2 linked regions of the Drosophila melanogaster genome follow. Changing the gene in region 2 together with the main gene of any one other region gives a genetic interaction. Each region holds a gene or a part of one and is shown on either strand. Other genes may lie near its edges. The genes, in order: E(Pc) and Tip60.

Evidence for each region.
Region 1: of Tip60 (region 2) and E(Pc), changing one enhances a phenotype caused by changing the other (phenotypic enhancement), as found in Drosophila melanogaster (one study listed by BioGRID).

The regions. Positions count from the first base shown.
Region 1 is NT_033778.4:11,450,538-11,455,495, forward strand, and holds the start of E(Pc) (enhancer of polycomb), read left to right. Parts: upstream 1-1,651; 5' UTR 1,652-1,846; intron 1,847-2,231; exon of another isoform or gene 2,232-2,348; intron 2,349-2,855; 5' UTR 2,856-3,779; coding exon 3,780-3,932; intron 3,933-3,996; coding exon 3,997-4,132; intron 4,133-4,287; coding exon 4,288-4,526; intron 4,527-4,595; coding exon 4,596-4,750; intron 4,751-4,958.
Region 2 is NC_004354.4:4,114,018-4,119,336, forward strand, and holds Tip60 (Tat interactive protein 60kDa), read right to left. Parts: upstream 3,471-5,319; 5' UTR 2,836-3,470; coding exon 2,776-2,835; intron 2,709-2,775; coding exon 2,582-2,708; intron 2,528-2,581; coding exon 1,303-2,527; coding exon of another isoform or gene 1,293-1,302; exon of another isoform or gene 1,280-1,292; intron 1,198-1,279; coding exon 985-1,197; intron 913-984; coding exon 912-912; 3' UTR 783-911; downstream 1-782. Other genes in the region: dgt4 (dim gamma-tubulin 4), read left to right, coding at 211-777; tyf (twenty-four), read left to right, coding at 4,401-5,000.

The sequences.
Region 1 (4,958 bases), on a different chromosome or scaffold from region 2:
TAATTCAGATTTTAAATTGACTTTACACCTCAGCTCACCACGCACACATCTAAATAGTGCTTCCCGCCACTCACCTCAATTCGCCATTTCACCCACTCACCCCAACTCACCACACCAAGTGGCGCACGCGCCACAAATTCCACCAGTGGCGTACGCAGGATTCTCTCAAAGGGGCTTGAAAATATTTTCTTATTTTCATTTAATTCTGTAATATGCTGAAGAAGAAGAGCCCTCTCCCTGCGCACGCCACTCTCTTCAACCACCAACACGGTTGCGCAGCCGCGACAGAGAGATATGCCTTCGCTCTCTCGCAGCTGCGCCACGCCCACCACCCACAGCCACCCACGAAAATGGTGCTTTTTCACATACGACACCACTGTCTGACTATATTTTTCATCATGTACGCCATCGCAATCCATGCCACAGTGGTCGCAATGCCGCGACAGCCGCTCCACAAGTGCCACCAAATACTATTTTATTTGTGTATTTATTTTCACCGAAAATGAATTCCTGCACTTTGTGGGCGGCAGGCGCGCGTGCATTGCCGAGCATCTGAAACGTCGAGGGTAGAGATGAAAATATCGGGCGCCGCCTGTCACCGGCGAGTATTACCCAATATAAATCGCTAATGGCCACAGGCGGTCGCCGCCCCAACTGTAATTGTGAACGTCCGTGCGGCCATTGCCCAAAAATGATTACATAATACGATCGAACGAACCGAATGAGAAGCCAAAGAACTAAGGATACGAAAGCAGCTGAAATAACGTTGGAGGATCGGCGCGGGATTTTGGCAAATCGAGCTTCTTCTGCTTGGGGCTTTTCAAGCATAAGGCTTTGAGGCTTTCTTTTTACTAAGCAGGTGCTTCCAACTCGCTTTGCTGGACAAATGCCCGACATAAGTTACCATTCAAAATCGCTTGGCCAAATCAGCATTACCCCCACAAATTGTTAAGGACTAGCGAGTAAATTTTAATCGTATTCTCGAATATAAATTGAGCAAACTTTAAGTCAACGAGCACATTTGAAACTATCAAGACATTGTAACCAGCAAATAAACAAAGTTAAGCAAAACAGCGAGTACGAAAAGCCTTGTAAGAGATTATAATAAAACAAAAGCATTTAAAGGAAGTTACAAAGTGGAGTTATTATTATTTGTATGCTGTATGCACAAGTTTAATTTAAAGAATCCAAATAAAATTCTAAGCTATCCAGCACACAAAATAAAACAAAAATTGTTTTACTCATTTAATAACTATATCTATAATGTCGACTGTTCAGCAAACAAGTTGTAAATACAAATTTGAATTAACAATTTTTTATAAATTTCGAATGTTAAAGCCCATGCGTTAGCACATCTTTGCCGATGCCGCAATTGTGAGTGTTTCCGATAGCTCGCACGAAATGCACTAGCGCATGAGCACTCCGAATTATTTGCACACCACTAGCTGGGCACCTGGTGAATGGGGCTGCGTAAATTAACAACAAAATAAATAAATGCAGCTTGGCCCCGGCTATCCAAATGTATGCATGCGACCCCTCACAAAATTCCACAGATTTAGATGAAAACCGCACTCAAAACGGTTAACTATTTCGCCTGGAGGCCTAGCCAAAATAATTTCGCCACTGTGGCGACGATTTCGTTCGACTCCGACAACTCCGAATTTTCATTCGTAATGGCCGCCCATAAGTAAAAACGTGTCCCGCTGCTGAAGAACGATTATACGCGTTTGCGCTAAGCCAATTGCTTGAATTTAGCTGTAAACGGTGCGGCAGTGGTAAATACGCTGAAAACCACATCATTTAATCATATAAGAGGCCCCAACGCCCGGCAAAGAGTGTGAAAAAAGTGCGTGAAAAAATCTTAATCGATTTTTTTGTTTGTGAAAAAAAAATCATGCAGCGTTGGGCATAGTGCTCGAAGAGCTCGCCAGGGGGCGCTGACAAACTGTTCGGAGTGTCATCGGAATAAGAGGCCGGCTATTTAGCGCTGCCAACGGCGATTAATCGATAACCGTAGCGGTTTTGAAATATATATTTTGAAAGGAAAACGTCATGTTAGAGCAATTTAAAAATTCTAGCAGTAAATATTTAATTTTTGCCCATATATGACAGGGCCCTGCAGTGAAATTGCGGCAATTAAATCGACGACCGCTTATCGTTATCGCCGCCGACGGCACAAATAAATCGCGGCCCCGCTGTCCGCGGCGTCGTCGGTGTTCGGCTCTCTGGCCGCCATTATTGCTTTCCAGCGAAACCACGCTATACGCAAAATCGGGTTTATATGTGTAAATTTTTCGGGCGATTTATCAACCAGATTGCGTTCGCTGATGCATGAAAAGTGCGGTAAAGTGTGTAAAAAATTAGCGCTGGCCCAGAAAAACATACGCACTCGATGGCTGATTACTAATTAACTAGATAAAAGCAAAAAACAAAACCCACATGAGGCGGAGTTTGATTGCGTTTTTTTTTCTCACTTAACAGAGTTCTGTACAAACAAAATGTTAGCTAACAGGGCTCTGCAAAGTGAAATATCTCGCGGAAAAGGCAGTATTAAATTCGCCGCGTTTGTTTGAGATGTGTGTTTGCGCGCGTGTGTTTGTTTATGCCGCCTTTTTCTTCGTCTCGGCTTTCTATGATTTTGCATTTTATCGCATTTAAATAAAAAAAAAAAATCATGACTCATGCGGATCGTGTTTTTGTGCGTGTTAATATTAATTTAATGCAAAAGCAAAGAAATATACAAATGTATGTGGATTTGTGAGTTTTTTCCCGCGCGCGCCGCCCTCACATATCAATGTATGCGTGTGTGTGAGAGTTGTTTACTTACTAGTTTTTGTTGTTGTTATCAATTCTAGATTTTTTATCAGCCAACCGATAACACGACAGCCAAGGCGAAATAATAATAAATAATAACAAGAAGAGGAAGTCAACAAATAAGCAAAAGAAAGAAGAACACAATATTGATTTAACCTAAAACGATGATGAACTGAAATGTGCAAATTTGATGAACGTAATTATGCCAATTCACACAGAACCTTCGATTTCAACGTGAAAAATGTCGTCGACACATTTGCTGCATTCACTGTCACTGTTGTTGCTACCACTGCGTTGTCGTCGTAATTGCCACCAGATCGTTTCCTTGGCCATTGTCCTGCTGTCGGCGCTGTCAGCCAGAGCTCCCGAGGATCAAGGAGGACGACAGGAGAGGGAGGCGGAGGAGGAGGACGAGCGGCAGGCGGACCGCCGGGAGAGTGTCCAGGGGGAGGAGGAGGACACGCCCTACATAGTCGCCAATCCACACCCAATCCTCACTAGCAGTAGCACTACGTCTTCGGCCAGGGCAACGGGCACAGGGGCTGCGTTAACCAGCTGGCAGAGCAGCCACAGCCACCGCAGCCCCGGTGCTCACGATCGGGATCGGTGTCAGGAACAGGAACAGGATCAGAAGCAGCAGCACCTTTTCTACCCCAGCAAGCCCCATCTCCAGCTAACGTATACAGCCCCCTCGACATCGAGTAGAGGAGCCAACACAACGCCGACCACGAATCGGAGTAGATCCTCCAGAATCCAAATTAGCAGTTGCAGCACTAGTCCTGCCCACTGCAGTTGGACCGCCGGAGCAATCGTAGCCTCCTTAGCATCCATAGCCACCTAAGCAGTCGATTCCACTAGGCAAACTCTCAAATCAGCCACAGCAACAGCAAATAGAAACGTTCCACACACCACAACAACCCAACCCAAAACCACCCACAACCAAAACCCAAACAAAAGCCAGCAAGATGTCCAAGCTGTCGTTCAGAGCCCGCCATTTGGATCCGTCCAAGCAGATGCCCATCTACTTGGCGGAGGAGCTGCCCGACCTCCCCGAGTACTCAGCCATCAACCGGGCAGTGCCTCAAATGCCCAGTGGCATGGAGAAGGAGGAGGAGTCGGTAGGAAGTTTCTCAGTGATCCTTTATTTTGGATGAAACTAATTTTGTCCCTTATCCCTTGTAGGAGCACCACTTGCAGCGAGCGATATGCACGGGTCTGATCATCCCCACGCCCGAGGTGCTGCAGACGGATCAGCCCTTCTACGATGCCTACTATCCGCCGGACTACAAAATGCCCCGCCAAATGATCCACATGCAACGTAAGCAAAAAGCAACTACTAGAGCAGAATAATTCGTTTCGTTTCGGGCTTAGAACATTATTTTTAAATTCCATATCAATATTGAATGAAATGCAATAACTTATGTAGTTTCGTATTATTCTTGGACTAATTTTTTACAATTGTTTAACTCTCAGCTCTTGGGCTGGATACCGAGGTCCCTGACTACGACATGGACAGTGCCGATGAGGACTGGCTCAGTCAGCAGCAGCGCCTGGAGCTTACCGAACTCAAGTTCGAGCAGATGATGGACCGGCTAGAAAAGAGCTCCGGCCAAACGGTGGTCACGCTGAACGAGGCCAAGTCGCTGCTTAACCAGGACGACGAGACCAGCATATCCGTCTACGATTACTGGCTGAACAAACGCCTCAAGATGGTAATAAACACTTAGCTTGGCTATTGGCTACGGCAATATACTAAATCAACTATCTTATTCATTCTCTAGCAACACCCGCTGATCCTCACTGTGAAAACTGAGAGTCGACCAGGCGCCAGCTCCAACAATCCGTACTTGGCTTTTCGTCGTCGCACCGAGAAAATGCAAACCCGCAAAAATCGAAAGAACGATGAGGCCTCCTACGAAAAGATGCTCAAGCTGCGGTAAGAATCGAGTGAAGTTTGCCTAAAGTCGGTTGAGAAATTTTTAAATGCTGGCTAATCGGGCTACACTGCAATTACTGGACACAGAACTTGCAAACATTTTCTTTCTCTGTATCATATAAATTCAATTCCTGCCCGATTTAAATGCAGGTTTTTTATGCATGATATCCTTAATCAGGAATTTTCCCATATACAACATTTTGTTTAT
Region 2 (5,319 bases):
GTTGTTATTTACATTTTCGAATTATTTTCATTTTTTTTTTATATAGTTATTAATAGCCAAATTTGACTCGAACATAGCTACGCGCCTATCGTTACAAAAATCTCCGTTAGCCGACTTCAAATGCTACCGATAGCAGCTGCGAAAGCGATAGCGTCGGCAATCGAATCCGAATTTCCCACTTTAAAAACTAAGAAGTTTTTGTAAGCCACTATGGAAACTCCACCCACTCCCACCACGACCACACCGCCATCATTGACAACTGAGGGCACCATGGACGACATCCAATACCTGCTGCACCTGGAGGCGATGCGCCGTTTTCAGGAAGACAGCCGCAATGTAAAGCGCCAGGTGGAGGAGCAAGTACGCATTTGGCTGGACGCCAAGTGTGAGTATCAGCGGGACTTTGGGCGGCTGGCGAGGCTCCTGAAGTGCGGAGCCCTGCAGGCGGCCGTGGATGCCCATCGTGTATCTGATGTGAATCAAGTCGACCAGGCGGCCAAGGATATCGCTAGTTTGCGATCCAAACTGGGCAGTGATCTGCGTCCCGCCATTCTGGACTCCAACGATGTGAAGCAGTGCCTGGAACATCTGAACACCACCCACAAACCGCGCCTAAATCTATGCCGGCAACAACGGGAGTTCGCCCAGAACCAAGAAGCTCTAAGAAGTTTGCGTACCGCCGTCGATGGATTGGAGAATGGTATGGAGATGGGCATGATACAGGCAATGGACCGCCTTGTGGAGGATCTTCTCCCACCGCGGGAAACAAACAACTAGCCGGTCGTCTCAAAAGTATATATAATATTGTATGATATAAACTAGTTTATAACATTAAAAACGGAAACTGTAAATGAAAACTACAAGCTACAACGAAGCCAGGATCATCCGATGAAGAATATTGGTAGCGGAAATCTAAAAACAAAAAAAAACGGATTCAAAGCTGTTTAAACTCAGTTATTTATACGGAGAAGATGAGGAGATTACCATTTGGAGCGCTTGGACCAGTCTTTGGGTGTCCAGTGCAGGCATTTCGAGTCGATGCGGATCTTGCGCTTGTCCATTGCTCGCCGGTGTTGCTCGATGATAACCCGGTTGATGCACACGATGTACTGGCCCTTGTAGTAGTTGATCAGGTTCAGGTTCTGCAGCGTTGAGATCACGTCCTCTTTTTTGATGGATGTGCATTCGCAGATGTCGCTGTGAAGAAAAATTTTGGGAGCATGATTAATCTATGTTTCGGCAATGAAGCACAATCTCTGTGGATTGAAAATTGTATTACTTTAAGCTTAGAACTAGCCATACTTTATAGTTATAGTGGGCTTTTCGCCGTCCGTGCTCGGGTTTTGGCTGATAAAGATCTCCAGTATGGTTTGCGCCCAGTACGATCGATAGGACAGCAAACCCAGATCAGACAATGGTTTCTCCGGCGATCCCGTCTTGCCCTCGAACTTGGACAACTCGTAGCTGAACTCAATGAGCAGCTTGCCGTAGCCCTTGCGCTGATACGGAGGCATTGTGAGAATGCAGGCCACGTTGTAGTCCTCTGTGCTCTCCTTCTCCTTGGAGAAGTACCCTACTATGTGGAAGCCGCGCGAGTCGAACTCTGTCATTACGTAGAAGAGAAACGGATCGGTATCATAGTAGAGTGTCTTGTGGTCGAGAAAGAGTTTGGCAAGCAGGCACAAGTTCTGGGCATACACCTTGTTTTTGCGTCCATCGATTTCAAAGAAGGAAATTGTATGTTTGCGATAGATCTCGTTTCCCGGTGGATGCCTAAGATTGCACTTGGACAGGTGCCTCTCCAGGCACTTCCTGCTCTTCCTGTACTTCAGGCAGAACTCGCAGATGTAGATGCAGGGCATTTGACACAGCTCTTGCGGATAGGGTGAGAAATACCAGGGCTTAATGCGATGCCTGCCCAGCTCGATCATCTCCACGTTCTTCATGCGGGTGACCACGTCGTCCTGGTGCGTAACCATGCTGCCTGATTGCCTCGGCGTGGGCGTCTTGCCATCCTGCGATCCATCACCATCATCATTGGCCGCTCCGCTTATTAAACCGTCGCCGGTCACATGCACGGGCGTAGCCGTGGGTGTCTGCGGAGTTGTAGGATGCGGATGTGACTGCTGCTGTTGACTGGTCAGACTGTGGTGTCCATGGGCCGAGCCTCCGTGGTTTTTTCGCTTGCGATTGATGCGTTTCTGAAGGGCTGCGGCCAGATTGTTGCCATTCACAAGCTCTCCCCCACTGCTTGGTGTTCCGGGTGGAGCCACAGAGTTTGGAATGCCAGCAGGGGGAGGAACACTGCCTGATGCACCAGTAGGAGTCTGGGGGATGGCTGCCAGAGCCCCGGAACCAGGGTGTTGCGGTGATGTAGGCCGAGAAACGCTGCCCGCTAGGGAATGGTGGCGCTGTGGCGTGGTCACTCCAGTGCTGGTGCCTGTTTGTGAGCCGTCTCTCCGCGGAAATTGCACCTTTCGCGTGTACAGATCCTCCTCGTTGACCCACTCGTCCAAGCGCTTGTTGACTGCGGATTGGCAGTTATACTAAATATGCTCCCACTGGACGACTTGGTACTCACAGTCCACATAGTGCACGTAAAACTGCCGGCGCCCATCCAACTCCTTGATGCTCACAATCTCCGCTAGTGGCCAGTCGTCCGTTTTGTGCATCCTGACGGGTAAACGACATCCCTCGGTTAGGGCGGCCTGCAAGTTTGCGGTTAAAACCATTAGAATGAACACCCAAAACACGCCAAGGCGTAGCGGAACCCACCGTTGACTCGCATATGGAGGCCACATCGTCGTCGAACTCATATTTGTGGTTAATTTTCATTTGTTTATATTTTACGCGTTTTTTTTTTCCTAAAACAGCAGTATTGCCAGATAGCGAAACGTAAATAACTATCGACCAATCGATTACCGCCACAGTGAATCAGCGGTTTAAAAATGTTGATGACATGGGCAGTGCTGCGCAGCGTCGCGTCGCCTTTTCAAAGTGCTGCACAACACAACAACAATTCCAGAGAGTTTTTCAATTCGGGTTCGGTATTTTTTCTCATGTGCCTACTGTGCAATTAAACAATTTCGCCCGCTTACAAACAACTGTAACATATTAAGCACAACCGTTCGACTCAATTGCAGTTGCTAGAACTTGAGTGCGCAGTTATGTGCTCCCTTCTTTTCAGTTGCCAAACCAAAAAATAAAAACGCTGAGAAGGTCAGAGAAATGTACACAGGCGTAAATTTGTGTGCGTGTGTGTGGGTGCGTACATTCGTGTGCGCTCGTGTGAGTGCGCAGAAAGTTATACAGCTGTCATCGACTGGCGTATTTATCAATAAATGACTACTGTGATCCGCGGAAAACTTCAGTTACTGGGTAATTGTGACCACAACTGCTGGGCAACTGTGCCGCAGTGCCCCAATGCTGACGAGCTGAGCGGGAAATTGGTGAAAAAGCTGTGTCAAAATGACGTGTTTTGCGATAGTGTTGCCACTGACAACAGCCGCAGGGCTGCCAACTCGATGGGCATATCCCACTAATTAGTTGCAAAACGGGCAGGCAATCTCGTGTTGATTAGTAAGATGCAAGCCTAGAGCAAACGCCGATTTAGCAATCTCAACGGCTTGCCCCTACAAACAACAAACAGCATTTGTCAACCCTGGCACGCAGCGTAGTTAGCAACACTGCTTTTTAGCCAAAAAAAAAAAAAAATAAAAAAAATGAATATGGAAAGAGACCAGTGCTTTTTAAAGAAATTCGAAGTCAGTGGGCCGCAAGGGGTCGCCAAAGACTAAACAGACGCACCTGCTACCACCCACCGCCCCTTGTCGCTCGTCCGCATGACCAGAACAACAACAAATGCTGCAAAACACCCAGTCAGTGGTCCAATGTCTCAGTTTCAGTTTTAGTCTCAACTTCATCCCCATTTCCCAATCAATTGCAGATCCGTGCGCACACATTTCCGTATTCCGGTCTGTTTGCGAGCAATCCGCATCCCCGTGCCCAGGAACCTACGTAAATGCCGCGAGCAAAGGTTTGAGCCGGAGGAGAGCTACTGACGACAGGCCTGTCAAGTGCAGCAGGAGTCCAAACTGATGCGCAATAGGTGGGCTCCCCTGTGCCTCAAACCGTCTGGAAGTCGAGAGGAATCGTTAGGAATCGGCGGAACAGCCTGCAGAGCACTTGCAGTCGCGGTGGCAACCACACGGCGGCTGGGCAGCTGGGCTACCTAGAAACATCGCGAAGAGAAGAAACAGTTTGTAAGCAGTTAATGGGAATGCGAGATATACCCGTTTACTAAAACAAACATTCCCCTCTTCTCACACGCCCTAACAGATTCGAGGAATTCGAATGGCATTTGTTTTTCTCCTTCGTTGCATGCCACCAAACGAAAGAAGATGAACAATGAACAAACGCCGTCATCATCGGACACACCGGCGGATCGTGTGGCATCTGGTGGAGCAGCTGCCAAACTGCCAACGATCATACCGGACACGCCCATCGTCTCGATTGCCGCTGGCACGATGAGCGAGAGCACCACGACGACCACCGTCACCAAAACAACGCCGACGCCGTTCCCACAGGAGCAGCTTATGACCATGATGTCAGACCATGTGGCGAAGGCAGACGCGCAGCTTGACGAGGCCTGTAGGAACCAGGGGGCCAAAGACGAGGACAGCCAAGGAGCGGCACCAGTGGCTGCCAACCATGTAGCCACCAGCGGCAGTAGCAGCAGAGGCAATGACCCCAAGAAGTCATCATCCCCTAGTAATAGCCATAGCTCTGGTAACCACGCAGCCACGGCAGACGCTGCCAAAGGATCCGCAGCAGAAGCAGCAGCAGGAGATACGTCCTTCTCGCAGGTCTTTGCCATGCTAAAGGATTCGCCCAGCGCTGAACTGTCGCGACCAAACCGCAGGGTACTCCAGTACGGAGCCACTGCCAAGGGCAAGACCCAGGACGATCAGAATGTCGGCAAGCGACAGAAGAAGAAAAAGGTAAGTGCGCTCTGGCTGAGTTGCATCTTAAGGTGGAAATATAGTGCATGTTAAGCAGAAACCGAGTTAAGATATTGTTTTATTAAGAAAAAGGTATAGTTATGTTTGTTACTCGCAAAATTTCACATTTGTGTACGTTCTGGAGGCTCCAAAGCTCTATGGTGTTTGGACTCCATATCTTATGCATGGCCAGGCTTGAATAGAGCTCTACCAGGGCGACTAAGTTGAGAAACAACTAAGTAAACGTAAAATTTGAAACTAATTTCGATTTTGGGTGGAATTCCAGTATTGGACAGCAAGTTGTCCGATCTTTACGTTA